7 linked regions of the Rattus norvegicus genome follow. The main gene of each other region encodes a partner of the protein of the gene in region 5 in a complex. Links are inferred from orthologs where the notes say so. Each region holds a gene or a part of one and is shown on either strand. Other genes may lie near its edges.

What was found.
Region 1: the proteins of Lin9 (region 5) and Lin37 are in contact, whole or in part, in a crystal structure (PDB 7N40), measured with the Homo sapiens proteins. The link is inferred for Rattus norvegicus from reciprocal best matches to the Homo sapiens genes LIN9 and LIN37. Residues at the interface, in NP_001353174.1 of Homo sapiens: Lys99, Ala101, Ser102, Gln103, Lys104, Ile105, Gly106, Arg108, Leu109, Arg110, Leu112, Leu113, Lys114, His119, Trp121, Cys122, Ile123, Glu125, Trp126, Phe127, Thr227, Leu237, Phe238, Leu272, Ser273, Asn274; in NP_061977.1 of Homo sapiens: Tyr95, Ile97, Leu99, Phe100, Asp101, Arg102, Val104, Leu106, Ala107, Phe109, Ser110, Glu111, Asn112, Thr113, Pro114, Leu115, Tyr116, Ile118, Cys119, Arg120, Trp122, Met123, Asn125.
Region 2: Lin9 (region 5) and E2f4 share a complex: the UniProt entries of both Homo sapiens proteins name them as parts of the DREAM complex. The link is inferred for Rattus norvegicus from reciprocal best matches to the Homo sapiens genes LIN9 and E2F4.
Region 3: Lin9 (region 5) and Tfdp1 share a complex: the UniProt entries of both Homo sapiens proteins name them as parts of the DREAM complex. The link is inferred for Rattus norvegicus from reciprocal best matches to the Homo sapiens genes LIN9 and TFDP1.
Region 4: Lin9 (region 5) and Tfdp2 share a complex: the UniProt entries of both Homo sapiens proteins name them as parts of the DREAM complex. The link is inferred for Rattus norvegicus from reciprocal best matches to the Homo sapiens genes LIN9 and TFDP2.
Region 6: Lin9 (region 5) and Rbl2 share a complex: the UniProt entries of both Homo sapiens proteins name them as parts of the DREAM complex. The link is inferred for Rattus norvegicus from reciprocal best matches to the Homo sapiens genes LIN9 and RBL2.
Region 7: the proteins of Lin9 (region 5) and Mybl2 are in contact, whole or in part, in a crystal structure (PDB 6C48), measured with the Homo sapiens proteins. The link is inferred for Rattus norvegicus from reciprocal best matches to the Homo sapiens genes LIN9 and MYBL2. Residues at the interface, in NP_001353174.1 of Homo sapiens: Lys356, Gln385, Arg386, Tyr388, Ala389, Thr390, Val392, Leu393, Leu395, Glu396, Asn399, Leu402, Asn403, Leu406; in NP_002457.1 of Homo sapiens: Trp663, Ala667, Cys668, Gly669, Gln674, Met677, Gln678, Ala681, Arg682, Leu684, Leu685, Arg687.

What each region holds. Positions count from the first base shown.
Region 1 is NC_086019.1:94,937,436-94,942,226, forward strand, and holds the start of Lin37 (protein lin-37 homolog), read right to left. Parts: upstream 3,010-4,791; 5' UTR 2,837-3,009; coding exon 2,803-2,836; intron 1,405-2,802; coding exon 1,329-1,404; intron 1,123-1,328; coding exon 1,072-1,122; intron 761-1,071; coding exon 731-760; intron 652-730; coding exon 566-651; intron 484-565; coding exon 317-483; intron 1-316.
Region 2 is NC_086037.1:50,086,880-50,089,952, forward strand, and holds part of E2f4 (transcription factor E2F4), read left to right. Parts: coding exon 1-193; intron 194-810; coding exon 811-1,029; intron 1,030-3,073. UniProt on the Homo sapiens protein: Transcription activator that binds DNA cooperatively with DP proteins through the E2 recognition site, 5'-TTTC[CG]CGC-3' found in the promoter region of a number of genes whose products are involved in cell cycle regulation or in DNA replication.
Region 3 is NC_086034.1:82,900,147-82,904,855, forward strand, and holds the start of Tfdp1 (transcription factor Dp-1), read right to left. Parts: upstream 3,021-4,709; 5' UTR 2,835-3,020; exon of another isoform or gene 2,212-2,834; intron 2,026-2,211; 5' UTR 1,963-2,025; coding exon 1,951-1,962; intron 1-1,950. UniProt on the Homo sapiens protein: Can stimulate E2F-dependent transcription.
Region 4 is NC_086026.1:105,751,045-105,755,169, reverse strand, and holds part of Tfdp2 (transcription factor Dp-2), read right to left. Parts: exon of another isoform or gene 3,039-4,125; coding exon 2,876-3,038; exon of another isoform or gene 690-2,875; coding exon of another isoform or gene 687-689; coding exon 543-686; exon of another isoform or gene 1-542. UniProt on the Homo sapiens protein: Can stimulate E2F-dependent transcription.
Region 5 is NC_086031.1:94,930,363-94,934,487, reverse strand, and holds part of Lin9 (protein lin-9 homolog), read right to left. Parts: intron 3,858-4,125; exon of another isoform or gene 3,777-3,857; intron 3,243-3,776; coding exon 3,109-3,242; intron 1,867-3,108; coding exon 1,747-1,866; exon of another isoform or gene 1,746-1,746; intron 1,491-1,745; coding exon 1,389-1,490; intron 1-1,388. UniProt on the Homo sapiens protein: Acts as a tumor suppressor. Inhibits DNA synthesis. Its ability to inhibit oncogenic transformation is mediated through its association with RB1. Plays a role in the expression of genes required for the G1/S transition.
Region 6 is NC_086037.1:32,089,543-32,093,667, forward strand, and holds part of Rbl2 (retinoblastoma-like protein 2), read right to left. Parts: intron 3,967-4,125; coding exon 3,836-3,966; intron 1,910-3,835; coding exon 1,709-1,909; intron 1-1,708. UniProt on the Homo sapiens protein: Key regulator of entry into cell division. Directly involved in heterochromatin formation by maintaining overall chromatin structure and, in particular, that of constitutive heterochromatin by stabilizing histone methylation.
Region 7 is NC_086021.1:172,130,976-172,135,100, reverse strand, and holds part of Mybl2 (myb-related protein B), read right to left. Parts: intron 3,794-4,125; coding exon 3,722-3,793; intron 2,341-3,721; coding exon 2,248-2,340; intron 777-2,247; coding exon 556-776; intron 1-555. UniProt on the Homo sapiens protein: Transcription factor involved in the regulation of cell survival, proliferation, and differentiation. Transactivates the expression of the CLU gene.

The sequences.
Region 1 (4,791 bases), on a different chromosome or scaffold from region 5:
AGGCCAGGTGATTTCCAAATCCCTATTACCCTCCACCCAGCCCATAAGGTCCACATTTGCTCACCAACGCCCCATCTGGCAGCCACATGTTTGCACATAAGATCCCTGTCCAGCCCTTTATGTTTTTAGAACCCCGGGTCCCTAGGAAGCCATATCTATCTGGCCTAGGGACCTGCCTGTAATCTTACCTGAGAATGCATCCTACCTGATTCTCTATTCCTTGAGGAGCCCAGAGATTAAACCTATCTACCAAGAATGGGGTTGTTGTTGACCTAGCCACCCACTGCTCTCTCTGGCCTCCTGACACTCCTCCTACCTCTCCATCCTCTGGCAGAGGGGGCAGTGGTGAGCCAGGTGAGCGCTCGCGCTCTCGCACTGTAGGGCTGTTACGCATCCAGGCGCGGCAGATGGGGTACAACGGTGTGTTCTCACTGAACTGGGCCAAGTCCACACTCCGGTCAAACAGCTTGATCACATACGTATCTGGGGCGGTGAGGCAGGTGACAGATGAGCACCCTAGTGTGGTCCCTGGCTCTATGCCCACCCTCAGTCCCCGCCTACTCACTGGATCTCTGAGGACCCCCCTCAGCAAGCCCATCGTCCATCTCCCTTCTCTTCTTCCTCCGCTGGTGAGGGAAGCGGGCCGATGGCCTGTATGGTTAAGGTGAGTGTCAGGCCCCAAGCTGGGGACTGGGAACCTTTTGGTGGTCTGGGGTCCCAGCCACCTTACCTTTTGCCCGTGGCAGCAATGGAACAATCCCTGCGAGGAGAGACATGGTGTCAGCAGGCCGAGCCTTTAAAACATCTGTTCAACACTGCCCCCCAAGGCAGAAGTGATATAGTTCAGTAACAGAATGTTTGCCCACACCCTGGGGTTCTATCTCTAGCACTAGAAACAAAAATGGGCACCCTGGGGATTACTGGTACCCCTTGGGCCTTGTATCCCACCAATACCCCACCCTCTCAAAGTGTCAGTCACTTATTCAACAGGTATGTCTACGTAAGATGGTTGGGACTTAGCAGAGGGAAAAACCTAAACTCTCAGGTCTAAATCCCATCAGAATCCCTTACTTGTTGTGTGTATCCGAGAGGGTTTTCCCAGCCTCTTCATCCAGGCGTTCCCTGGGAGCAAGAAAGCACTACTGGCTTAGGGTATCAAGGACCCAACCTGTGATGATACTGAGTCGTTTTCTCATGGGACACACCATGGAACAGTTTTCCCCCTAAGGCAGCCTCCAGGCTCCCATCCAGATCCCCCCACAACCCCCAATCAGTCAGTCCAAACAGTTCCCACCCTTGTGGTTCCCCAGACTGGACCAGATCCCAACCTGTCCATGTGACTCTTCTCCAGCAGACACTGAAGAACGGCATCCAGCTGGTTCCGGGCTTTGGCCATCTCCATCTCTGAGGGCAGAAGTTAGGAATCAGCTCTGTGTGCACCTCCCACATCCACTGTGGGAGGCGATCCTATGTTCTGTCTGGTCCAGGTACTTGGAAAGCCACTTTAGTGCCACTCAGTGGAGAGACCAACTAAAGACAGAACCAGGGCGACAGAGCCTTAGGCAGGGGTCATGGGTGTGGCTGCTCACTGCTCCATTTTCTCTCCAACACCTACTCAAGAGTCTAGGATCTGGACACCTTCCACGGGACAGCCCTTAGGGTCTTTCCACCGAGGCCTCCCTCTCTAAACCCACTCTTCTTCCTGGATTCTCACCATGAGGAGTGACTCACCCGTCCACAGGCTCCTGGACTCACCATGGGTACTCCTCTCCCACCCCAGTCTCAGCTCTCTTGGCTTGCAGGAGTCTGTCAATATATTCCCTCCCCACCTTGCCTTTTGCTCCTAACCAGCGCCTAGCCTCAGTTGCCTTTTCTGATCCACCTCCTTTTATAAAGCAGACAACAGAACCTTCCTAAAAGAGGGCCAAGCCTAGCTTAGTGACATAGGTCTGCTATCCCAGCACACTGGAGGCTGAGGTAGGAAGATCAAGAGTTCAAGGTCAGCCTCAGCAACCAAAGATCCTCTCTCAAACAATAAGCAGAACAAAGAAAAAATACAAAACAGACAATGTGGCTTTGATCTTTGCCAGCACAGAACCCTCAAGGATTCTACAACCCTATTACACACACACACACACACACACACACACACACACACACACACACACACATCCCCACTTCTTCACTATGTAGCCCTGGGTTGGCATGTTATTTGCTAAGTAGGTCAAACTGGCCTTGACTTCAGAGATCAGTCTGTCTGCTCTCCATGCCCTGGGATTAAAGGCATCTGCCAACACAAACAGCACTCTCTCCACTAGCAATTATTCCACTCAAGTTTAGTTGTTGGACTATAAGTTTGTTTTCTTTTTTGCATTTTGGGGTGCAACTTTACCAACCCACTCTTTGTTCAAAAACCTCTCTAGATTACCCATTTCCCTCAAAGAAAAAGTTGAAAGTCCCTTCCTGGACCCCACAGATCGATGTGTCTTCCCCTCCCACCTCTCTGCCTCCGTTTCCTCACTGCCCCAGCCGCCCTAACTTCCCTGCTGCCCGCTTTGTCCCCACACATTGCCACTCCTCCCACCTTGTATATTTTCCATTCATCACTCTACACGCTAAGGTTATTGGAATGCAATGACTATTGTGTACTTGAGGGACACACCACAATTGCTGATTCATGCCCTCTGTCAGAAATGGGGAAACTGAGGTAGAAAAAGAAAAGAACCCTTTTTAGAGAATCCTGTCAGATGGGCTGCAGAGAGATGTCGCACAGTCCACTTTTTCACGATCCCCAGTCCTCACCTGATTTCTCCACTTTCACCTTTACCGGGAACATGATTTGGGTCCAGGTCTAATGCGTTAGATCAGAAAAACTTGGAGGAGGCGGGGTTCAAAAGCGAGGCGGAAGGCGAGCAGGAAAAGGTCAAAGGTAAGTCTGGGTACCACTGGTCCTCGGGCCTGAGCAGTGTCCTGCCGCGACTGCCTTGGCCAGCACTTCCCTTTTTTCCCTTCTGAAGGCGGGCCCCTTTGGCAACTGCTTTTTCCCACTAGTTGATGAAAACGTCAATTTCATTTGCTGGCCAATTGACAGCCTGTACTATTGGCTCCCAGCCTTAAGTTCCACCTTCCCAAGGCCCTGTATCCGGAAACAAACCAACGACAAGCCAGGCACCTGAGGGGCGGGGGAGAGAAGGAGGAGGACTGTGATTCAAACTTCCGAGGCTCAAGAAGTAGGCAACGCGCCTGCGCCGCGCAGGGCACTATGGGAAACAAAAGGCTTCTTGGGATTTGTAGTGTTGTATTTTTTTTTCTTTTATCTTTTTTTCGGAGCTGGGGACCGAACCCAGGGCCTTGCGCTTGCTAGGCAAGCGCTCTACCACTGAGCTAAATCCCCAACCCTGTAGTGTTGTATTTTAAGTAGCGCCAGTAAACCTATTTACAGCTTTGAGCTATCATAGTCACTGAGATCCCTCACGGGAAGACCAATCTAGAGATGCACTGGCTCCTTTCTTACAGAGAGCTCGCTAGGTGTCTTTTTAAGCAAAATCTCATTCATTTAAGTATTAAAAGTGCTGGGTACTCATTCAGATAGTGAGGACACTGTAACGAGAAAACTGGGCAAAAATTCTTGCCGATAATGTATCTTATTGTGTAGACAAGATAGTCAATAAACAAGCCAAAAATCCGGTTAAATGTAGTAGGCACACAAAAATATGCAAAAATACTCATCAAGGTAGGGACTGAGACTTTATCTATCATTATTTATTTATTGCCTCACTCTGGCTCAGTCTATGCTGAAACTCATTATGTATGTGACCAAAGCTGTCTTTGAACTCCCAGAAGGCCTCCTGCCTCAGCCTGATTAACAACACCAATACCACAACCTGCTGGGTGTATGCTTTTTTTAAAAACTTACGGGGCTGGGGATTTAGCTCAGTGGTAGAGCGCTTGCCTAGGAAGCACAAGGCCCTGGGTTCGGTCCCCAGCTCCGAAAAAAAAAAAGACCAAAAAAAAAAAAAAAAAAAAAAAAAAACCTTACTGGGGGATAGGGACATATCTGTAGAGGTCACAGGACCACTTACAGTATTTGAGGATCAAATGCAAGTCAGGATCAGCAGCAAGTGACCTTACCACTGAGTTATCTTACCAGACCTCTGCTGAAATTATACTGAGACAGGGTGTCACTACATAGCCCTGGCTGCCTGGCATTCACAGAAATCCACCATGCCTCTCTGCTTGCCAAGTGCTGTGGTTACAGACATGAGCCACCAAAATCATGACACTTTGCATAGGAAGATCAAGATGCCAGAAAAATGGCTCACTCTCTGGTTCACTTGTTAAGCTCCGTAGTTACGGGGACTCACATGGTGTCCTATTTTGGTCTCCATGGGCACCACATAAAAGTACACACACACACAAGCAGAACTAAATCAAGAATAAAAAATAGGAAAGTCAAGGAAGCTTTCCTAAAGAAGCTCCTGGATATTTCTCTTGTTGAAGACGCCTCCTTCGAATTCTTCCTTGGCAGAGAATACTAAGGCCTAGAACAAGGAAGTGATTACCTTGCTTGGTTGGTCCTGCTGGGAATCGAACCTAGCATCCTCCTCATGTTAACAAAGTGCACAGGCAGTAAACTACAGCCCCAGCTAAGAAAGCTGTATTTTTAAATTCACAACTACCAGTACAGGATAGCAGCCCTCCAAAGTGGGAGCACCATTTCCTTCTCCTTCATCCATAAGACGGTTCTGAAGCAGGAAAGTTCTTATCTCAGAAGGGTATGAGCAGTAGTTA
Region 2 (3,073 bases), on a different chromosome or scaffold from region 5:
GTGCCCGTACCTCCCCCTGACGATCTACTCCAGAGCCCACCTGCTGTGTCTACACCTCCACCTCTGCCCAAGCCTGCCTTAGCTCATCCCCAAGAAACCTCTCGTCCAAGCAGCCCCCAGATAACTACCCCCACTCCTGTCCTTGGCAGCACTGAAGTCTCAGATGTGGCAGGCCAGACAGCTGAGATTGCAGGTGAGACACTATGGTAAGGTGTGATGGATTATTTTTTTATTTTTTGGAGCCTACAAGAAACTGTGTCATGGCATGCTATACTGAGAATTAGAAGTTCCTGGGGTCCCCACTTAGCTTTCCTTGGAGTTACAATGAATGTGCCCCTTTAAATTACTCTGTTCATTTATTTGTGAGGGGGACACATGCTACAGGATGCATGTAGAGGTCAGAGGTGATCAGATGACAACTTGAAAGAATTGGTTCTCTCCTTTCATATTTCTGGGATTTGAACTCAGGTCAGGTTTGTCCATGAGTGTCTTAATTCACGAGGATCTCACTTGCCTGAATATGCCCTTTCTAACAAGGAAGCTTTGACTATATAGGCAGCATTAGTAGGGTAGTTTATCCCAGATTGGACAGTGTCTGATGGATCCTGGCAACCCCATGAGTCTCCCTCCTCCAGGACATGTGCTCTATCTTTAATGATGTTTTCTAGTGCTTCTTGGTAACTAGTGGTGACTAAGTCTCCTTGGATTTGGCTACCAGCACTGTGGTCATCCTGGTCATAGGATCTAGCCTATGGCAGGTGTAGGGTCTATTTCCTGACTCTGTGTTTGGGTTTGGGGATGTGGTTGCAGTGAGTGGTAGCCCTGGAACTGAGAACAAGGGCAGTGGTGAACTCAGTTCACTCCCACTGGGCCTGACAGCACTGGACACTCGACCTCTGCAGTCCTCTGCACTACTGGATAGTAGCAGCAGCAGCAGCAGCAGTAGCAGCAGCAGCAGCAGCAGCAGCAGTTCATCTGGACCCAACCCTTCTACCTCCTTTGAGCCCATCAAGGCAGACCCCACAGGCGGTGAGTACTTACTGAGGGGTGGGGGCCAGCAAGGAGAGTCTTGGAGCTGGCAGTTCCTTTCCTGCTAACCTCTGCTCTCTGCCAGCCAGACAAGGATGCCTAATCTCCAGGTCAGTGCCTGTGCCTCTTGCCCGTTTCTGGGACTTCATCCCCCCTCCTGCCACCACTTGGAGCATCACTAAGCCTCACTAATTGAGATTTGCTGCTCTTCGTACTCACCTCACCATTCTGTTTTCCTTTCTACGTATGAATGCCTTTAAAAAGTAATCCTTGGTCACCCGTGTCTGTCAGCTAATCCTCCACCACAGGGCTGTAGCTGTGCTGTTCTTGGTGTAGTACCTGGCCCAGCAGGTTTCTAAGAGTCTAGGCCTGGTGCTTTCTTGGTCTCTTCTGATGCTCTTTCCTCTGTCTTCACTGTCAGCTCTTGGCTTTTCTGCCTCACTGGCATCTGATACTTCCTTAAACATTGGTACTTACCATTTTATATCTGGGGTGGGCCTCAGCTCTAGGGAGCTGATTTTGAGTTTCGGCCTCTACATAGTCTAGATCTTTTACCCAGTCTCCTATACACCTGCCATAGACGACTTGCATATCTGGTGGACACCTCAACTGAACTTAACCATCCTGCTTCCAGTTTGCCTTTCAAGTTCTTTGTGGACTCTTATCAGCTAGCTCTAATCACCAACAGGCTTGAGATACCTCTGTATCATCCCAGTTCTGCTACCCACCTTACATGGGTTAGGTAAAGTTTGTGAAGTCTGTATGGGATTAAAAGATGCGTGCCACAGCCAGCTCTCTATATTTTGACCATTTACAAAATGACCCTCTTTGCCCTCCTAGTACCTTCTCATCCCTCTTACATCTTCAGCACACCAAAAACTATACACCATTTTAATTTTAGATTTATAGTAATCTTTTAGAACATTTTATCTATATCTTATTTATCTACTGGTAATTTCAGATATCTATACAATGTGGGGGTGTTTTTTTTTTTGTTTTTGTTTTTTGTTTTGTCCTTTTTAAGACCGGGTTTCTATGTAGCTGTCCCAGAACTTACTCTGTAGACGAGGCTGGCCTCTGCCTCCTGCCGTGTGGGATTAAAGAATGTATGCCACAATCAGCTCTTTTTGACCATTTACAAAATGACCCCCTTTGCCCTCCTAGTACCTTCTCTTCCATTTTCATGTTCTCTTCATTCTAATTAGCACTCCATGTATGCACAGATCCAAAGAAAAGTGACTGCCTCTTTTCCAGCTAGTTGGATGGCTTGGTCTTGTATAGATACCATAGATGCTTGTGAGTTCACAGTACAATGGCCATGTTGTATCCAAAAGACAGTATTTCACAACACTCTTCCCATCCTATGGTTTGTACAATTTTTTTTTCTATGTTGTCATTTAAATCAAAGAACCAAAACAAACAGCCAAGTTTGCCACCTCCCCATCTATAATGGCTGCGTCAAAACACTGTAAAAAGGAAACAGATTGGAATGTCTGGTGAGTTCTGACTCAGGAAGCAGAACATCAGAATGGCCTGTTGTGAGACTTTACTTATGCTTCCTCAACAAACTGGCCTCTTGGTGATCTCTCTTCTTCAGTTCTACCCATGACTGCCATAGTAGGAGGCCTGGGATCAGAACCCACAGGCCACTGTACAATATTTCTGTATACCCTCTTTAGTTATATTTCCTGAACCTTGGGCTGAGCACTCAACCTAATCTCAGCAGTTTATCAGGAATTTCTGCATTGACTCCTGCCATTTTCTCTAAGCAACATGTAAGCATGAAAATTTAGGAGGCAGTTTGATAAGCATATTAATTAGCAAGGCAACAGTACTAAGTTCTCCCCTAGGATCAACGATCTCTCTAGCTATGGACTTTTGCAAGGTTTACAGTATCAGGCATGAATTATACCTGTGGGGCTGATCTCAAAGCCAAGTAAAGGGGTTGGTTACCCTCCTAAGTTATGCCACTATTGCACCAGAAGGCACATCTTCCCTGGTGGGTTGGTTTATTCCATGCAGGGGCTATTGCCTGTTAAACCCA
Region 3 (4,709 bases), on a different chromosome or scaffold from region 5:
CTGTCCCCATGAACGGTCTACAGTACCACAGGAAAGACCCCGAGTACCTGCAGGCACAGACCACCCCTCTACCACTGCTCGTCTGCCAGCTCCTGCCTGCCCCATTCCATAGCCCACAGTCCACAGGGAGCCCAACATACTCGATGCTCTGCCTGGGCACCAGCAGGGGCAGAAAAGCCCCTAAGCTATTTGTCTTCTGTCTGCCCTTTCTGAGACCTAGAGCGTGACTTTTGCCCCTCTGTTCTCGCCAGCGTCATGGCCTTCCGAGCCCCATGTCGACAGTGCACTTTACAGCCAGAGTTCGTCTTAAGCATCAAGTGCTTACACAGCTCCAGTGGTGCCTCTTTCCTACCCTTCAGCACAGGTTACAAAGTCCCTTTCCAAACCCCAATACTGCATCCTACTGAAAAAGCACAGGGAAGGCCCAACCCTGCAACCCCCACTTCCAGCCAGAGAACAGGGGGAGCCGCTTCGCCTCTGCCCAGGTCTGTGCGCACTTGTGGAGGGACAAAGCAGCAGCGCTCTTACCCAGTCACAGCACTGGCCTCACCATACCACAATGGCTAACCCCAAACCAGCTGGCCTCACACTCTCCACTGGATAGGACATCCTGACCACTTGCCATCATGGTGTCTACCCACCCACCCACCCCTTCCCCAGGGACACAGCACACAGGAGTGCATGATGCAAAACTGAGGTGACAGGACTTGGAGCATGCTGACTCACTGAAGATCACTGAAGAAGATGCAATGATCCCCGAAACCACACCAGGCCATGGGGTCTCAACGAAGGCACGGGAGCCAGTGCCCTGCTTACACACCGTTTACCAGACCTAGCTACTTTGTGGGCACGCACTGAGCGGCACGTCTCTCCTTAGGCACACACGGGGGGAAGAGTCAGGACGTGGAGGCAGGCAAACAACAGACATAACGAAATCGAGCCCCACGCCACATACAGCTGTGACTTCAGGTGACCTACACACGGTCTCTCAGGGTGGAACTCGACTCCCAAGAGCAGGTCCAGTGCTTGATGACCATAAGACGGACACCGTCTGATCCAGGTGGGCCACTAGGCATGACTAAATCCTTGGGCCTCTAAGTCAGGACAAGACTCGGTACCTGCGCCACAGTTTCAGTGCACTTGGGTACAAGTCTAGCTGATGTGGTATTATCTGCCTGCATTTTCAGGGCTGCACAGAAAATTACACTCATCTAATAGTCAAAGGACAGTGAATGCTGAAACACTGGCACAGGCACGATCAGTGTTGGAGGGAGTTATAAAGTAATACTGCGAACATGTATGTGACCAAAATCACAGACTGTATTTTTGCCCCCTAAAAGCCTAACTGTCAGTACCCATTTCAAAAAAGAAATTTCAAATGCTCAGTAGCTTTGTAGTAAATACGAAGCTTAACCAACCAGCGTTTCCGTGTTTCATTAACCACCAAACGTCATCTTTCTGAGAGAAAAATGTGCCCAAACAAGTAGTTGGGATTCAACCCATCAAAGTGGAATTACGGTCTTACATACTACATAAAACAAGTTAAGTTTCATGCATAATGCATCGTAAGTTGCATGCTGACAGCTCTCCTTCGTGGAAACCCACTAGCAAAATACCCCCCTCACACGTTCATTTCAACTGGGAGATGCATTCAAACACAAATTTTGTATTCAAGCGGTTTAGATAGATTAAAGAAAAATCCAGACATCATCATCTTAACCACAAAGAAAAAAAAAAAAAAAAACGTGCCAGGCTTCAGATGACAAAGAACATTTGTGCGGAGGGGAGGCACCCACCTACTGACTGGCCACCCCTCACCTCCATCCCAGCTCCTGCCTGTAAAATGTCTGAGCAAACCACTGCCACGCAGGTATGGCCACTCTCAAATAAAGGGAGAGAACTGCAGCGAGCTATGCTAACATGTCTGCAGCATGCAGAACTCATACTTACATCTTTTGCCATGTTACCAGATCCAGGAAATCAAGGCTTTAACTGCGTACCCTCCACAGAAGAAACCGGACTTATCTGGTAAAAAGGAAGGGGACGAGTAATGAATGAGAATGAAAAAAAAAGAAGTTTAACGCACATCGCATTTCAAAGGAAACATCTCCCCACCAGCACGAGGCAGGCCTCCAGGCAGCAGGGGCCTTTCTTGCACAATCCCAACAGGAGAGCTAGCCAAGCAGGTCCCACACAGGGATTTTAAGTCACCTCTCCAAATGGAAATGCTCCCTGCGGGCACCAGCAGCTCCCACCCGCAGAGGGGCCAGACCCCGGCCCCTTGGCGGAGCGAGGCGCAGCCGTCAGGCTCACCCCACCTGGGCACGCGGGCCCCGCCTGACCACAGGCCCCACCGAGTCACAAGGCCCCCCACTTAGGCACACGACACTGCGTGGTTCTGCCCGGGCTGCAGCAGGCCCCGGGGCTGCCCAAGACCCCGAGGTGCCGCCGACCACTCTGACAGGTGGGCTCCCGGCCGCCCGGCCGCCCCACCTGTCACTAGGCCCGGCCACCAGCCTCGCGCGCTGGCGCGGACAGAGCCGGAGGGTGGCCAGGACCCCTGCCTGCCGCCCACGCCACGCCGCGTCGAGGCCGACTCCGGGCTGAGGCTGGGCGGCGGGCGGGATGCGACCGGACGCGGGAACCGGGCTGGGGCGGGAACGGGGCCGCGCGCCCAGCCCGCGCCCTCCCGCCGCGACCGGCCGGTGCCCCCGCCACACCTGGCTGGCCGGCGGGGCGCGCGGGGCGGACGACGGGGGCGCGGGGGCGCCGGCCCGGAGGTCCGGCCCTGGCGGTCCCTGCCCTGAGCCAGCGGCGCCGGGACGCGGGCTCACCCTGGGCCGAGCGTCGGGCCGGCGTGACGTGCGCGCGGCGCGGTGACGTGGGCGGCGGCGGGCCCGCTCCGCGCAGCGCGCCTGCGCGCCTTTTCGCGCCTTCGGCGCCCTCCTCCTCCTCCTCCTCCCGCCGCTCATCTCCCGCGCCTCTCGCCGGTGCTACCCGCCCTGGGATAGGGGAGGGACCTGTGCGCGCGTGCGCGTGTGGCGGCCGCCGACGCTGAAAAGCGCTGCGCGCGCCTCCATGTGCGCTCGGAGAGAGGCCACGTGTGTGCGCGCCTCTGTGTGTGTACACCAAGGGCCAACTGTATGCATGTCTGTGTGCATGCGCAGGGAGAAGAGGGCCACGTGTCTGCCTCTGTGTGTATGTGTGTGTGCCACGCGCGCCAACGGTGAAAAGTCTGTGGTGTGTGCCATACCTGCATGTACACATAGGGAAAGGATGATGTGTGCACACCTGTGTATATCCATAGTCTCGCTATACAGACACGTGTGTATTCATGGAGTATGAGTCGTGTGTGTGCATGCCTGGACGTATATATAGAAGAGAACCCTCTGTGCATACAAATATGGATACCTATGTTTAATGCCTGCACACTGAAAAGAATAGGTGAGTGTGTACACACAAGGGAAAAAAATGACCAGTTCTGAGCGTGCTTTAAAGTACCTGCATGTGCACCACAGGGGGAGGAGTCTTGTACATTTATACAGAACAAAGTAAAGGCTGTTAGGATGCATATTGGACAATGCAGAGACAAGATCCCCCACCTCTGCTCAACTATTGACCTCCACAGCCACAGGGCCTGAACTTGGGCAGTCAGAGGGAGCAGCCTGAAAGACAGGTGTGTGTGTGTGTGTGTGTGTGTGTGTGTGTGTGTGTGTGTGTATGTATGTGTAAGACTAAAGCTGGAGAGCCTGGGAGAAGAATAGACTGTGGCTTGCAAATCAGTCCAAGTGGTTCAGATAAAATGACCCAACTTTTCCCAAGCATATGGGACTAAAGACCAGAGCGCTGTTCAGTACTATCAGACAACTGTTAATGTGAGCGACCAAATTTTATTCTGAGGGGTGGAGAAGCCAAATTTGACTCCCAAACAGATCTTTCTCTATTACCTAGCTTCCTTGGTCAGACGAGTTAGCATTTGACTGAACAGTCCTCAAGCTGCTGTCCTGTTTAGAACTCTTCCTCAGCTGCTTTGAGGAAGCAACACTGTAACCACAGCAGCTTATTGCTAAAGCACAGCTACCGTTCCAGAAGGCAATACCCAAGGCATGAGTATCTCAATAGCTTGCACCAGACCTCTTACCATCACAAGCTTTAGTAAGCTCTAGTAACCATCTTCACCCAGGATGGGAGGGGGTGGGGGTGGGGTGGAGGGGGAAGCATCTGTAATGGCTGAGCAGAAAGGCTGTGATTGGTGCAAACATCCTTGCCACACCCCATTTCTGACTATATAAACAAGCTATTTGGCTAACTTTTTCAGTAAGCTGGGAGAGTCTTTCATCCAATAGGAACTCCTCTCAGGTGACGGTTTACAAGCTAGACTGGTAATATGAAGAGATAAACCACAGAGCATCAGCAGAGCAGTGACAGCAGCAAGGGGGAGTCTGAAGAGTTCTGGGGAGCAAACAGGTCCAGAGCAGCAGCACACAGGTGGTGGGGCGACAGACAGAAATGGGAAGACACTTAGAGAAGGTAAAGTGCCAGGACTGAAGAAGGCTATGAAGGGGCAGAGACGTGAAGACGTGGGTCCCGGCCACTGGAAGAATTCCAGGGAGCGGAGCGGGCCAGCCTTATCGGGTAACAGTCGTGCTCTAGGATTGAAAACTGAAGTTCTCCACACATAAGTTCCCAGCACCCAATACCCATGCAAA
Region 4 (4,125 bases), on a different chromosome or scaffold from region 5:
AACTGCCCAAAAAAAAAAAAAAAAAAGATAATTAATCAAGATTAGATTTGTTAAATGACCTAGCAAAAATTCATTGGCAGATACTTAGATTTAAATTAGAATGAAATAAAGATCCATTCTAAGAAACAACAAAAATGAAATGCACTCATTTAACTTTGTTGTTGTGGTTTTTGTGTTCGGTTTCTGTGCTGGTCTGTTTTGGGACGGGGCATGTACTCAGTCTGGCTTTGAACTAAACAGCTGAGATGGTCTTGACCCTTGATCCTCCTCCTACCTCCCAAGTGCCCGGATTAGTTATATGCCATCGTCGCCTTCATGACCAAACCACTCGCTGACATTTTCTTCCTCAGTTCCAGGTTTTGTAAAATAAACTGCAAACTGTATCCCCAAAACTCTTCCAACTCAAAACTCCCCAGAGTTTTACAGTAATGCAAACATGAACAAGTATAAATATTTTAATATCTCACGATAAATTTCTTAAGGAAAACGTCTCGCATGCAAACAACAGAGCGCAGCCACCATCCGACAGCGCTCCTACTTACTTCCAGGTTCTGGCACTCCTGGGCGGAGTTGGTAGGCAGCCCAATCCACTTGATTTCTTTTTTCTCCTTTGAAATTATGTTCATTGCCATTAGCACATTCAGAGCATCATAAACTCTTCGTCTAATGTTCTTCTGATCATAAGCCTGCTGAAAATGTTTTTATTAAGGGATGAATTTTAAAGGTTATCTTCACATGCTGTTGATATTAACAGTAGTATCTCCCAACTACTGGAAAATTCTATGCCCCGTGAAAACATCTTGGAGGTCAATATGTAACAAAGACACTGGTAAACTTTTTTAAAACACTTTACTTGTGTGTGTATTTGGGGAGGGGCAGTGGACATAAACTCTTGCCATATTGTCCATGGAGAGCTTCCAAGGGCCACTTGTGGAAGCCCAATCTCTTTTTCCATCACATGAATCTTATGACTGAACTCAGGTCATCGGGCTTGGTGGCAAAATGCTTTTGTCAGCTGAGGTATCTTACCAGTTCTGAAGACATTTTTTTTCATTTTTTTTTTTTTAAGGTTGTTTTGAGGGTTGAACCCCAGGCCTCATGCATGCTAAAAGAATGTTCTACCACTAGGTGACAGCTCCAGCCCTGAAGATACCCGTAACACAAAAGAGTGTCAGAAACAAACTCTAGACCACCCTAGGTTGACAAGAACACTACGGGGACATCTTTGGGTGGGGGAAGAGTACTAAAACTGGAAGCTTGGAGATGCAGAAAACATAAAGATGAGGGTAAATCTCAGCTGCATAAAGTTTTTAAGAAGTCCAAGATATAAAAACTAATATTATAACACATGTATACATAGAGGGGTAAAGTATTCAAAGTGCCTGAATTATTTGGAAGAATTCTATACTTGTTTGGATCCCCATCACCCATGTAAAAGCCAACTGCAGCATGCGTCTGCAACCCCAATACAAGGGCGGTGAAGACGTGGATCCTAGATGTTTCCTGGCCTCCCAAACTAGTCAATCATTAAGCTTCGAGTTCAGTGAGAAACCCAGGCTTTGTGTGAGGATGCCAGGAATGGTACCACATCTTTAATCCCACCACTTGGGAGGAAGAAGCAAGAGCAGTCTGTTCGACATGGTGACTCCAGGCCAGTCAGACATGCAAACTGAGACCCTGTCTATAAATAAACAAACAAACAAAAATAAGGGGACAACTGACAGAGCAAGACACCCAATGTTGTCTCCGGCATCTTCACACCCACGCATGAGCCTTCACACCCACACATGGGCCTTCACACCCACGCATGAGCCTTCGCAGGTGTATACAACACAGACAACATACATATGCACATACACATCAAGGATGCATGTTTTAAAGTCTGTGAACTGTGCCTCTTAGAATATGGTTCATGGACTAGTGCTGACTAGCTGTTTTCAGTCTATGTCCCAAAATATTTCTGTACTACCTCTGCACACTGATTAGTTCAGCTAACTTGTCATTTCTTTTGGTAATAAAACTTTTATTGAATGAATACATTTACACTGATTTGTATCATGAGGTTCTTGTACACAGGAAGTTCTTAACAATAAAATCAAATCAATTGAATGTGATAATAAAGGATAGTGGGAAATACTGAGTCCATTGAAATATAAAATAAATCTAAATCAGTAAAAAATTTAAATTATGGAATTGAATATAAATATTGTATTCTTGACATTGTAGGCTTTATTTAACATCATTTTTTGGGTAAAATCCTAGGATTTTGAACTTTTCTATTTTTGTTGATTTAACATGGGAGGGAGAGGTGGGTCTTACTATGTAGACTGGGTTAGCCTTGTGCTCCTTATACTGCAAGCTGGCTTCACTCTCCTAAGTGCCCCAAAATTTATATGACCACAATATTATATTTTAATAGTATTGCCAGGCAGTGGGGATATATATACCTTTAATCCCAGCACTCAGAAGGCAGAGGTAGGCAGATCTCTGAGTTTAAGGCTAGCCTGGTCTACAAAGGGAGGTCCAGGATAGGCAGATGACACAGAGAAATCTTGTCTTGAAAAGAAAAAGTTTATCTTTGTGGGCTACCGACACGCACCAGCTGGGTAAAGCACTTCCCACGAGTGCCTTATGACCCAAGTACCATCTCCAGACCTCAGGTAAAGGTAGAAGGAAAGGAACCCGCAACACTGTCCTCTGACCTCTACATATGTGTCATGGCATGCATGTGCCCCCACATATCACATACATACAAATAAATAGGAAACTCTCAGAGGATTCCTAAGCTTCCCTGGTTCCTCAGATCCATGTCACAAACCAATAGGTGTACTGAATCTAGGAACCATAGTCCATGTGTAATCCACAATCCACCTACCGAGTCAGCTGCCAGATGGTTACTCGCATTGGTAAACTCAGACACCAGTTCATCAGCTACTTCATTGTATGATGTTGTGCCTTTCCGTTGAACTTTCTCACACACCTTCATTGAAAAATGTCTCAAGCCTTTCCCATTTTTGTCCCCTTTTTTGCTTCGTTTACTAGAAGAGAAAAAGGCTGATGAAAAAGTTCATATTCCATTATACTCAGAGATTCCTCTACAAAACTATGTAAAAATAAAACAGGAAAATAATCACTTTGTTTCTCTTTCAAGTGAACAAAGTTTAGACTGAATAAAGGAAATGTTTTCAAATTTAATTTTTCTCTTAAGAGCTTAACAATACATAGAATGCTTTCTATAATGTCATTCATTTAGTAAGCACGTATTGATAAATTACTGCTATACGCCAGTGACTATTAGACACCAGAAATTAACTTGTGAAAAGCTCTAGCTCTCCTTCCTAGAGACTATGCATTAGCTAACACCTATGTGTCCTTTGACATTAAATCATCAGCATCTCAGTTCTTACTAAAACTTGAGGGGTCAGATTAGTTCTAATAATATATGAGCATCAGGGATTTGCAAGAACTGTTTTAGGGACCAGAAGTATAAAAATGCAGGTGAAATTCTTTCCCTCAATGAGTCTTAGAGCATAATGATCAAACACATACATAACAGCAGACAATTTGAAAGGGAGAAGTGCCAGGCCACAGTTATTCACGATGCTCTGTGGGAAGTGGGAAGATGACTTGTGGGGAGAGGCATCAACATTGAGTAAAGACCAAAGGAGGGGGGTAGGGAGCTCTGGTCAGGAGAAGCAGCAGAAACAGCATGGAGAAAACATGAATTACTGAAAACAAGAAGGGCAGAGTCAGCCAGTGCAGTATGCAGGGTGAGCCATGACACACATGATGAAGACCAGGCTGTGCCTTAACAAGGCAAACAAATCCGAGTTCATCTCATCGTGCTTATCAACATAATCTACTTATTAACAAATTATTTACATGTTCTGTGTTATGGACAGAAAAGGCACTAACCATGTTCTTTCAAATGGACATCTTCCTTCACTTCCCTACATTCCTGCTGTGGGTGACTAATCTAGAATTAACTAAAACCCAAGTTGCTAGGTTTCTTTTTTAATTTTTATTTCTTGAGACAGGGTCTTACTATGTATCTCTGGCTAATTTGGAACTCATTTCATAGAGAAGGCAAACCTCAAACTCATAAAGATGATCCAGTTGCATCTG
Region 5 (4,125 bases):
TGTCCAACACCAAACTCAGGTCAGCTCTAAAAAATCACAAACATACAAGTAACATCATACCAATTAGTAGGTTGTATTCATATATTTGGGAACACACACACACAAACACACACACCAGCAATTAAAGAAAAAGAGACTGTGAATTTGAGTGGGCAAGAGAGGATATATGAAAGGGCTTGAGTGGAGAAAAAGGAAGGCAATAATTCAACTGCATTACAATCTCGACAAACAAACAATGTGTGTGTGTGTGTGTGTGTGTGCACTTTATTTGTTTTTTCAAGACAGATTTCTCTGTGTAGCCCTGGCTGCCCTAGAGCTCTCTCTGTAGGCCAGGTTGGTTTTGAACTCAGAGATCTACTTGCCTCTGCCTTCAGAGTGCTAGAATTAAAGGCATGTGCCATCATTGCTCAGCTCAATAAATAAATAAATAAATAAATAAATAATTTAAAAAAGACCATTTCAGACTAAAATACTATTTTCAAAAAAAAAGGGGAAAAACCCTCAAAACAATACTGGACTATAATTTTTTCAAGTAATTTATTTTTATTTTATGTGCATTGTGATTTGCCTGCATGTATGTCTGTGTTAGATCTTGGCGTTCTAGACAGTTGTGGGCTGCCATGTGGGTGCTGAGAATTGAACCCCGGTCCTATGGAGGAGCAGTTAGTGCTCTTAACCACTGACTGACCCATCTCTACAGCCTCCTAGACAATTATTTAACAGAACTATGTAATCTTCTTTTCCTTTTCTGTCAGAGTCAAGCATCTAGCTATTAGCTTGGGCTGGCTGTGAACTCTTAAGCACCCTGCTGAGCATCTCAGGCTTGCTTCTTTTATCAGCCTTATTTAATCTAATTTTCAAAAGCAATCACTCAAATAAGCATGTGGCACAAATCTTTAATCCCAGCACACAGAGGCAAAGGCAGGCAAATCTCTGTAAATTCCAAGCTAGCTTGGTCTACATAGTAAGTTCCAGAACAGCCCTACACAGTGAGACCCTATCTCCAGAAAAACAAACAAACAAACAAACAAACAAACAGACAAACACACAAACAAACTCATTACATTTTTCAAGTCAGACTATTCAGAAAGACTGTTACATATAATGCTTCTGTAATTTAGACTTAGATTTCTTAGTGTCTAATCCCTAAGTACTTAGTAAGTAACAGTAATTTCTTATCTAAAACAGGAAAACCAGGTAACTCAAATTATTTTTGGGTATTATAATTTTGTTTTAAGAATTGTTGGAAATAAATAGCAGAATCCTGAAAACCACACAGTGGTTGAAAGAATAATATGTAAAGATGTTTGACCCACAGAAAGACTCCAACCTTAACAACTCTGAAGACATTCAGTTTCCAAGCAACAAAAGCATTTGGAGCAACTTACCACCTGGATAAGGAATTCTACTGGAAAGCCTCCTAACGTCTCCGTGTCAGAGCCAGAAATTTTACTTCTCCAAGGCGACTGTCCTAGCAAGGGATCACCATCCTGAAAGTCGAAAGGAATCATCTAATCACTGACTGTGTGTAAAGTGAACACTCTGTTTATTAAAAGCACATTAAAAGCCAGTACTGAGGAAACTATTTTCAGAACTGGAGAAACTATTTGCTTATTTTAACAGCTGCCAATCAGTTCAATGTGATGCAGGAAGCTCAAGTCCTGAAGTAGCTGTCATGTGTGCTACACGAGAGCACAGACTGCGTTCACAACAGTGACATTCCTGAGGCATCTCTGCATTACTTACTGTAATTGGTGATTGGAGAGGAGGGGTGTAATGTAACCGTGGGGGGGTCATAAAAAACCGAGAAGGCCGCTGTTTCTGTCCAAAGGCAGCGATTGGCATTGTCTCATGAGGCTCATTACTCTTGAAAGAAGAGAATAATCCATAAAACTTAAGGAATTTATAAGCACTGTATATCAATTTAAAATATAGCAGTCCAGAGTGCAGTTATAGTCCTAAAGTTTATTTACTTATTTAGGAGCCTATAGGGTCTTCCACATGCTAGGCAAGCACTCACTACACTGTAATTACTCATTACTCCAGCAGTCATTTTATTTATTTACTTAAAAAGAGTGTAAGACTGGGGATATAGCTCAGTGGTTCAGTGATCACTAACCCTGGATTCAAACCAAACCCAAAGGACACTCACAAATTCGAGTATGAACACACACATGCACACTCATGAATGCACACATAATTTACACCTTACAAAATCAAGACTGATAAGTACCTCAGCAGTGTATTGGAATATCAAAACACCTAGATTCTAGTCTCCAAGTGACTTATAAACAAACAAAAACACAAACAAACGAAACCCCAGATTTGGAGCTTTGAATAAGTTAATGGACACTGTGGCAATTTCATCATGGAAACGTCAAGTGTGGGGCTGCTCAGTGGGTACAGGCACCAGCAACTAAACCAGAAGACCAGTCTAAGAGTCACATGGTAGAAGAGAAATGACTCCCACAGGTTGTACTTACTTGGACCTCCAAACAAGTGTTGTGGACTGTGTGAGTATGCATATACACATGCAAACACACACACGCACACACACGTAAAAATGTAATTTATAGTCAGGTGGTGGTAGTGCACTCCTCTGATGCCAGCACTTGGGAGGCAGAGGCAGGCAGGTCTCTGTGAATTTGAGGCCAGCCTGGTCTACAGAGTGAGTTCCAGGAAAGCGAAGGAAACCCTATCGAAACGACCCCCCCTCAAAAGTAATTTTAAAAGGTGAAGGTACTGATTCTACATGAATATGAGAATAAAACAGGAGAAAAATATGAAAAGTCCAAGAAGTCACTTCCTATTTTATATTTAGGATGAAAATGTGTATGTTCCAAGATTATTTCATCAGAAACAATCCTGTTAGCAAGGGCTGCATGGTTAAAGCACACGGAAGGGACCCTAGCTTTTGGAAATGAGACTTAAGTACAGTCTTCTCTAGGGATCTAGTCTATAGGGCTGGGAAATCCTAAGGCTCTCTTCTTTGAATTCAAATCTTCTCTCATACAAGACAATTTAAAGAAAACACTAAAATAATTTAAAAGCAAAAAATACAAACACACTATAAAACATTTTAATTAAGTTTAATAAAATGTTACTCACAAGAACTTCATAGTCAGGAATGGTGTGAGTCCCAAGCCCTGTCCTATCGAAAGTTACTCTGTAAGTAGCATTAAGAGTATCCACAGCATCTATCTGACCAGTAAACAGACCATCGTGAATGCCACGTAATCGTGCTGAAAGAGAAACAGGTGTTCTATTTAGGACACACAAACACTTGCGAAATAAAACTATTCTAAGCATATAGTTGAAACCCTTAAAAACATAGTGTCACTGTGTACTAGTTTAACATGACTATGTACTTTATCTTAGGGTTAGAGAATAGTTTTTTAAACGAAAACAAAATTAAAATGATTCTTAATTTGACATATAAGTGAAATCATATAGCTACCAAACAAACCTGATAAAGAAAAGACCACCATTTAGAGTACAAACGCCTAAAAAACTAGCAAAACAATTCTGGATATCAGACTTCCTTTTGTTTAAAGATTTATTTATTTTATTTTATGTAAATGAGTACACTGTCGCTGTCTTCAGACACACCAGAAGAGGGCTTGGATCCTGTTAAAGATAGCTGAGACCCACCATGTGGTTGCTGGGAATTGAACTCAGGACCTCTAGAAGAACAGTCAGTGCTCTTAACCACTGAGCCATCTCTCCAGCCCCCTGGATATCAATACTTTTAAGCAACATATTAGAAATAGTTTATTTTCGGGGTTGGGGATTTAGCTCAGTGGTAGAGCGCTTGCCTTGGAAGCGCAAGGCCCTGGGTTCGGTCCCCAGCTCCGAAAAAAAGAACCAAAAAAAAAAAAAAAAAAAAAAAAAAAAGAAATAGTTTATTTTCAACTTTAGATAGGTCTCATGTATATCCCAGGCTGCTCTCAAACCTACAAAGCAGCTAAGGATAACCTTGAACTTTTGATCCTCCTGCCTTTGCTTGAATGGCAGTATCACTAAACTCCAGTCTGAAGGGACAGCACATGTGAAAATCATAAGAACAGTGGCACTGAAGGCAAAATTAAAGCTATTAAAAAAGGTACATTCGCAGCCCTCTTCTAC
Region 6 (4,125 bases), on a different chromosome or scaffold from region 5:
GCTTCTGCACATACCGGTATTTCCTCTGTCCCGAAGGCCCCACCTCTCTCTCTCAAGCCATCTGCCAGATCCCACCCAGTTCTCTTTACTCTGCTATCAAACTGGCTCGTTTCGGTTTATCTTGGCCTCAGAAATCTCACTTTTCTCTGCCTGCAGCACTCTCATGATCTGAATGTTACTTCTTCCCTCTTGCGTTACTGTCAACTCTCAGAAGAGAGACCACGCATCCGTTTGAATGCCCATCCGCTACGCAATACCGAAACGGTAGCTTCTTGCTGTGTTTAACACATGGTGACACAGTCACAGCTCGACGCCACAGTCATGCTCATGAGGCCGGGCTGGCATGGTAAAGCGTCCAGGTTCTGCAGTTCTACCCACTGTCAGATGCCTGGGCCGCCTGCTCGCCGGAAGTTTGTTTTCCCCACGTAACAAGGCTCAGACTCCTAAGTGTGTCCTGTGTTCACGCTCACACCTGAGAAGAGTGCTTCCTTCACACAGACACATGCCATGCATCATAGTGTGACTGTTAGCAGGAAAGTGCTGGAAAGTGCCAAGACCTGTAGAGTAGACTCCTGTCATCCCAGAACCTGGAAGGCCGATACAGAAGGATAGCAAGTTTGAGGCCAGCCTGGGCTACACAATGGCATTCCTTCCCCCATTTTAGGAGGCTTTGATTTTGCTTTGTTTTATTTTCTCTTTTTGGCTGAAACAGAATCTTATACAGTCCACGCGATCCTCCTGCCTCAGACTCCTTAATGCTGGGGTTACAGTTCTGTGTACCTACACCCAGCCTCTTGTACATTTCTTATGAGTACTGTGGTAGCTCTATTTAAGAGGAAATTTCCTTAGAAGCTTTAAAAGTTTCCCTTTCTGTTTTAAATAACTTTGACTATTAAAGGAGGGGAGTCTGTGTCTTGTAAAAGATAGAGAAAACCAGGTAGAGTAAGGGGATTTTGTAGACCTGACTGGAAATCAAGTTCACAGTAGTCGAATTCCCCTGTTCTCACCCAACCCAGTTTCTCTGCTGTTGACTGATTATGAACATCAGAGTCACTCCAGGGACAGTTATTCAGTTTGATGTAAAGGTCAAATAATAGAAAACATCAGGATCTGATCAATACCAGGGAAGTCCACTGGGAAAAGTGCTTAGGGCCTGACTTGTGCAACCTGCACTTTTGACTGCTTAAGTAAAAAGGGAAAACTATATCAGTGTAAAACCCAAACATTTTGGATTGTGAAAGAAGCCAGGCAATCTCTAATATACGGCAGAGAGCAACAACAAATTATTATTTAAAAAAATACTTTTTAAGTCAGGCGTGATAGTCCAAGTCTATAATCCCAGGACTCAGTGGCAGAGGCAGACAGATCTTTGAGTTAGAGGTCAGCCTGGTCTACATAGCGAATTCCATGCCTGTAAGGCTACATCATAGCAAGGCCCTATCTCAAAAAACAAGTGAGGGCTGGAGAGATGGCTCAGCGGTTAAGAGCACCGACTGCTCTTCCAGAGATCCTGAGTTCAATTCCCAGCAACCACTTGGTGGCTCACAACCATCTGTAATGGGATCCGATGCCCTCTTCTGGTGTGTCTGAAGACAGCTACAATGTATCCTATACCTGAAATAAATAAATAATCCTTTAAAAAAAAAATCCCGGGTTCTAAGGAGGAGCTCTTTGAAAAGCATTTTCCCAGAGACGCATAGATACACACCTCTGCTTTCTTCCTCTTTGCTGGCGAGGTTGTTCTTCTTGGGGATATTTAAAAATGTCTTGAAAAATGGGTTCATATTTCTTAAAGATCACAGCGGAGACAGTGAAGTTTCTTTCTAATCTTTCGGTTCGTTCTCGGAAGTGTGGGGGTAAATTTGCCATATCTTCCCACTTCTTCATCTTGTTAAAAAATTCAATTAGGCTGATAATAAAAACAAATCGAGGTACTTTAATAATGCAAAGGTGACGTTATGCCAATACAAGTAAATCAAAATCATTTCACTGAATTATATCTGGACAATGACATAAAATCAAAGGGATGCCTTTGGTTAGCTTAATCTCCTACCCTTTACCTTGTCACTCCCACCTCCTGACCCACTCTACTCAGGTTTGGATTCCGTGTGTGTGTGTGTGTGTGTGTGTGTGTGTGTGTGTGTGTGTGTGTGTGTGTGTTCATGTAGCTGACATGTGGCAATGCACACAGAAGACTGAGATTGATGCCTGGTGCCTTCCTCATGACTGTGTCACTTGGATTTTTCTGCTGGGTGTGACAGGAGCTTTTACTGAGTCATCTCAATGACCCTGCCTTAGATCTTTTAAATATTAGAACTCCGATGCTGGAGAGATGGCTCACCACACTTAAGAATATTTGCTGTTGGGTTGGGGATTTAGCTCAGTGGTAGAGCGCTTGCCTAGCAAGCACAAGGCCCTGGGTTCGGTCCCCAGCTCCGAAAAAAAAAAAAAAGAAAAGAAAAAGAAAAAGAAAAAAAAGAGTATTTGCTGTTTTCACAGAGGACCTGGGTTCAATCCTAGCAACCACAAGGTCACATATGACCATCTTTTACTACAGTCCCAGGGGATCTAATGTCTTCTTGGACACCAAACATACACATGGTACCATATACATACATGCAGGCAAAATGCTTGTACACATGAAATAATAAAATGAACCCCCAAAAATTTAAAACAATACTAAAGTTAGAATAGAAACAGACAAAATTTTAATGTGAACATCTTCCTAAACTAGTTCTCTGCCCCTCCCAAATGTAACCCCAATCTTTTGTTTGCTTTTACATTTTATGTAAAATGTATCACACTACAAGTAGCATTTTGCAACTTAGTTTTCATTTAATGTTTCTGAGGCTCATTAATGTTAATACATGGAAATATCTAACAAGTTTAATTACTAAAACAATTCCTTCCTATGAACATTCAATAACTTTCTGCATTCACTCAATGAACAGAGACCGATTACTTCGAATTTTCCTTTAATAAAATAGTGCAGGTCTGGAGAGGGGCTCAGAGGCTAAGAACATTTGTTGCTCTTGGCAGAGGACTGAGGTTCTGTTCCAGCAGCCACACCGCAGCTCACAACCATCTGTAACTCCAGTTCCAGGAGATCCAATGCCTTCTGACCTCCACAGGCACCGGAACACATGTGGTACACACATATACATGCAAACATGCATACACATAAAAAACCATGAATTTTTGAATGTTGCCATAAGCATCTTGGTATGCACGATGTGTGTAGGAGTTTCTTTAGGATCAGAGAAGACGCAGGTCCAATTTTACTACACATTTCACATGCATTAAAACATAAGTTCTGGGCTGGAGAGATGGCTCAGCGGTTAAGAGGACCCGACTACTCTTCCAGAGGTCCTGAGTTCAATTCCCAGCAACCACATGGTGGCTCACAACCATCTGTAAAGAGATCTGATGCCCTCTTCTGGTGTGTCTGAAGACAGCTACAGTGTACTTATATATAATAAATGAATAAATCTTAAAAAAAATAAGTTCTATGCAGAATACCTAATAATTTATATTTATTTACCTTTTAAATCCATGGTATCTTCAAAAGCTTCTCGGTCTCTTTATTTAAACTTAAAGCAATATTAGGCAATAAGTTATAACCTTTAATGCATTACAACACGAATACACTCATGTTCGTACACTGCGATCCTGACTCCGAAATGGTAAAGGAAACCACAACTCAGTTTCTACACTCAGCTGTGTACATGTTAGATGCTCAGAAAATAGTAAACAGAGAGAATTTCCATTATCAGTGTGGTGTCTAAGCTTTCTTAATTTTAGCAGCATCCTACTTTTCAAGCTCTAACATAATTACCTTTGCTCAGAACATCGAAGGATTCTAGTTAAAGACACATAGTTTCCTTCAGCAGTCCCTTTGCTCACAGTAGGAACAGATTTTCTGCAAGCCACATATAAGGCACATGCTAACCAATGGAGATCATTTCCCTGAAAGAGAAAAAAGAGTTTTAGCTAATGACTTCCGTGTGCTTCAATGGAAAACTTCGTGCATTCATATCGAAAGTGATATTTCTATGACGGCCCTTGCCCACGGCCTCTTCTAGTATGTGACATTGACATTCGTCCATGCATGGTACTGTCTCTGTT
Region 7 (4,125 bases), on a different chromosome or scaffold from region 5:
GGAGGGTCAGAGTCGCAGGGAGTTAAATCCTCCATGGCTGAAAACCAGGATGGAAACCATCACAGTGGATGAGGAGACAGACAGCCCAGCAGCAGTTAACAGCATTCCCTCTTCCAGAAGATCTTGATTTGATCCCAGCACCCACAGACCAGCTCACAACTGGCCTCCTCAGGCACCAGGCATGCACATGGTACGGACACACAAGTAGGCAAAACACTCACATACATTAAATAGACTGTCCAGGCATGGTGGTACATATCCACATTAGTATCATTTGTGAAGCCAAGGTCACAAGTTCGAGAAGTCAGCCCAGGTTCAACATCTGGGGACAGAAACTAGTGTTTCTCCCATCAGATTCCCCCTAACAGGGTTCAACCAGACTTCCTAGTACTGTCTCTTTAGACAGGCCATTCTTGAGGGACCTATTTCCATTTAATGCACATCTCTAGAAGACCTGGCTGGTTGGATGTTAAAGACCACATAGGGCTGATCACAGTTCTCTGGGACACTCTATCCCAGGATGGGCCTCACCTCCCTACCAGGAGATGGCCTCACCTCCCTGGCAGCATCTTGGCGATCTCAGCCCAGCGGTTGCCCAGCACTTTATGGGCCTCACAGATGATCCGATCTTCCTCCTCTGTCCAGCAGGACTTCTTCACCTCAGGGTTGAGATGGTTGTGCCAGCGCTCACGACACTGCTTCCCAAGACGGCCCTTCAGGTGCTTGGCAATGAGCGTCCACTGTTTTGTGCCGTACTTCTTGACCAGCTCAATGACCTTAAAGAGAACAGCGGTGAAGGACCGGACCCCACCCCGCCTCCATCGCCCTCCATTAAACGTCTAGATAGCCCGGTGGGTCTCACTTTGCAGTTTACAGAGCTACAGTAAGCCTGTGAGAGGTCCGCCCGCACCATACTCTAGGGCAGGATATATCCCTTCAGCACTTCTGTGGTGTACGGCCTCAAGATGTGTGATAACACGTGTATTCCCATGTGTGCACAGGCAAAACCAGGCAAGAATAGACACTTAGGGAAAAAAAGGAATTTCTGTGTGGAAATATTCTATTTCATTTCTGCATGGTTAAAGAAGCACCGAAAAAGCAGCCCAGGGTAGGGGGTTGGGGATTTAGCTCAGCGGTAGAGCGCTTGCCTAGCGAGCGCAAGGCCCTGGGTTCGGTCCCCAGCTCCGAAAAAAAGAAAAGAAAAAAAAAAAAAAAAAAAAAAAAAAAGCAGCCCAGGGTCATCGCAGTTTGGGGAATGTCAATCCCTCTCTATGCCTTGATTTACCCACCTATTACACAAATAACCCACCCCGAGAGACTACGGAAATATGGCACTGAATGTCAAATGTGGCAAAACTCCTGTAACCCACAGGGGAGAGAAGCAGGAGTTTAAGTGAGTTCTGGCTGCACGGAAAGTCTGAGGCTAGCCCAAGCTAACGTGAGACCCCGTTTCAAAAAGAAAATAATCCTAGAGCAGGGATCAGAGGAGAGGTGAAGCCCAGTGACAGAGAGCTTTACCCAGCATGCGACAGGTTTCGTGTGAAGCACCCTCAAACCAGGCATCTGAGCATTGTGTTTGTGTGGTCTAACCTGTGTCACCGTGTCTACCACATTATCACAGCTTCAATGCCAGCTGTCACTAGCGAAGCAAGCCTCTTATGTGGACCACCCATTACCTGTCCATGATGTTCTATGTGGTAGGTATGGTTACCAGTTAAAAGCTAGGTAGTCGGGGCTGGGGATTTAGCTCAGTGGTAGAGCGCTTACCTAGGAAGCGCAAGGCCCTGGGTTCGGTCCCCAGCTCCGGAAAAAAAAGAACCAAAAAAAAAAAAAAAAAAAAAAGCTAGGTAGTCTCACCGGATGGTGGTGGCCCCTGGCACTTGGAAGGCAGAGGCAAGTGCATTTCTTTGAGTTTGAGGCCAGCTTGGTCTACAGAGTGTGTTCCAGGACAGCCAAGGTTACACAGAGAAACTCTGTCTCGGAAAACAACCAACAACAAAGAGCTGTCTGGATGATTCATGGAGTGAGGTGGCCACTCGGCCTGGCACTAGGAAGGCTGGGGTTGGAGGAGCGCTCTGAGCTCTAGGTCAGATTATGCTACAGCATGAATATGAGACCAGCCAAGCTACAAAGCTGGCCTTTCTCACTACACAAACACACACAAGTCCCTGGAGAAGCTGTATGGTACGGGGATGTTCAGATTCCCTGCAAGCCCACCGTGTGTGCAGTCCCTTTGCCAGCACCGACCTTCTGATCTTCCTCTTTGGTCCACGGTCCCTTAACAAGGTCTGGATTCAAAACCCTCAGCCACCGGTACTGGCATTGCTGGTCTGTGCGGTTCTAGAACAGGAACAGAAAGAATGCTGACACTAGAAGATTGAACTCTGGTTGAGCCTTGAGCTCAGGGGGCAGGGTACAAGCACACCTTAGGTAGCTGTGTCCTGTGCCACGCACCCACCACACACCAGAGGCCAATATACCAGAACATGGGTACAGTAATTTTGCTTCACTTTAAAGGATGAACTCAGGCCCTGTGGAAAGGAACCTCCCATCCTGTGAACCTAGTATATGTGTGTGTGTGTGTGAGGTGCACTATCTAAGAGTCTATGAAAGTTTTGTGAAAATTATTAGTTATCCCTCCTTTCTTCTTGGAGAAAAAAAAAAAACATTTTTTTTAAGTCTTTAAAGAGCTCAGGTTACAAGGAAAAAGGCAGAGGGCAGAAAGAAGGGTGATGACTCAGCCCAGGATGCCTATGGAACTCCCAGCAGTCAGTGGTGGCCTTGGATACTCCAGCCTTTCCTGGTGCCAGCAGTCCTGGGGAGGGTGTGTGTAGAAGGGAGCTCTCATCCACAGACTTTGCATGTTAGTGTAGTGGCACTAAAACCGTGCAGGAGCTTGAAGTCTGCTCAAACGACGCTTCCCCTTAGGTTCAAGTTCAGGGCCCAGAACTAAGTATCCAGCTGCTCCTGACTTGCTGGAAGAAAAACAAACTTGCCTTTGGGCCCCAGACTAAGATTCGCTAAGGCAGCTATGTGAGGTCATCTCCCGGGAAACTTTCCTGTTTTATTTGGTTGATTTTCCTTTTATTTATTTATTTATTTATTTATTTTTTGTTGAGGTTTGGTCTACTGCTATATATTATAATGCTAAATTCTAGCAGTGACGTCTCGGGTTTATAAGCTTTTGTTGTGCAAACCTCCTTGTTCCTTAATTTAAAACTATTGGCTAAATAAAATTGGCTATAGCCAATTACTGGAGGAATTAGAGGTAGGTGGATTTGGAGTGACCTGGTTGGAGGAGGAGAGACCAGAGGGAGAGGGAGAAGAAGGAGAAAGAAGCCTTTAGGAGGGGAGAGGAACCATGAGCACGTGGCCAGGAGAAACAGCAAGTATCTGGGGTACACCGCTGGGGAAGTACCCAGGCCTGCAGTTAGAAGGGTAGATTAGGGGTGACCCCCCCCATAATTGTCAAAGCCAAGTATAATAACCACAGTCTGAGTCTCCTTTATTTGTAAGCTAGTCAGGAATAAACATAAATTGGTTTTGCTACAAGGTTTCTGTGTAGCCCTGGCTGACCTTGAACTCAGAGATCCACCTGCCTCTGCCTCCCCAAGCGTAGTACAGGAAGCCTGGCCTCCCAGCCTCACCTCACCTACACTTTCTAAGCTTTCTAGAGAGGGCTTACAGAGAATCCTTGCCCTGGGGGAGGGGCAATACTCACAGGAAAGTGACTGGCCAGGAACTTCCAGTCTTGCTGTCCAAACTGCCTCACCAGGGCCCTCAGTAGCTCATCCTGCCAAGGTAAGAAAGACACGGGCTTGGCTTAGCTCACATGTATGGAAAGTCTCACAGATGCCGTGATAACAGCATATTCATGCATTACTCAGGAACTGAGTGCCTACTAAGTGCCAAGTGTTAGTCAGAGATGCCAATCAAAGCCTCAGGCAAACAGAAGCAGAGCCACTCCACGCTGGAGGACACCCTGTGCTAAAGCTACGGTTACCGCCTCTTCAGCCAGGAGGACAGTTTAAACTGAGGAGAAGGGAGAGAAGAGGCTATGGCTGGAGAGGATGCCAGTGACAGGACTCTTATCAACAAGAGGCAGATTAGCCACTGAGGGGGAAG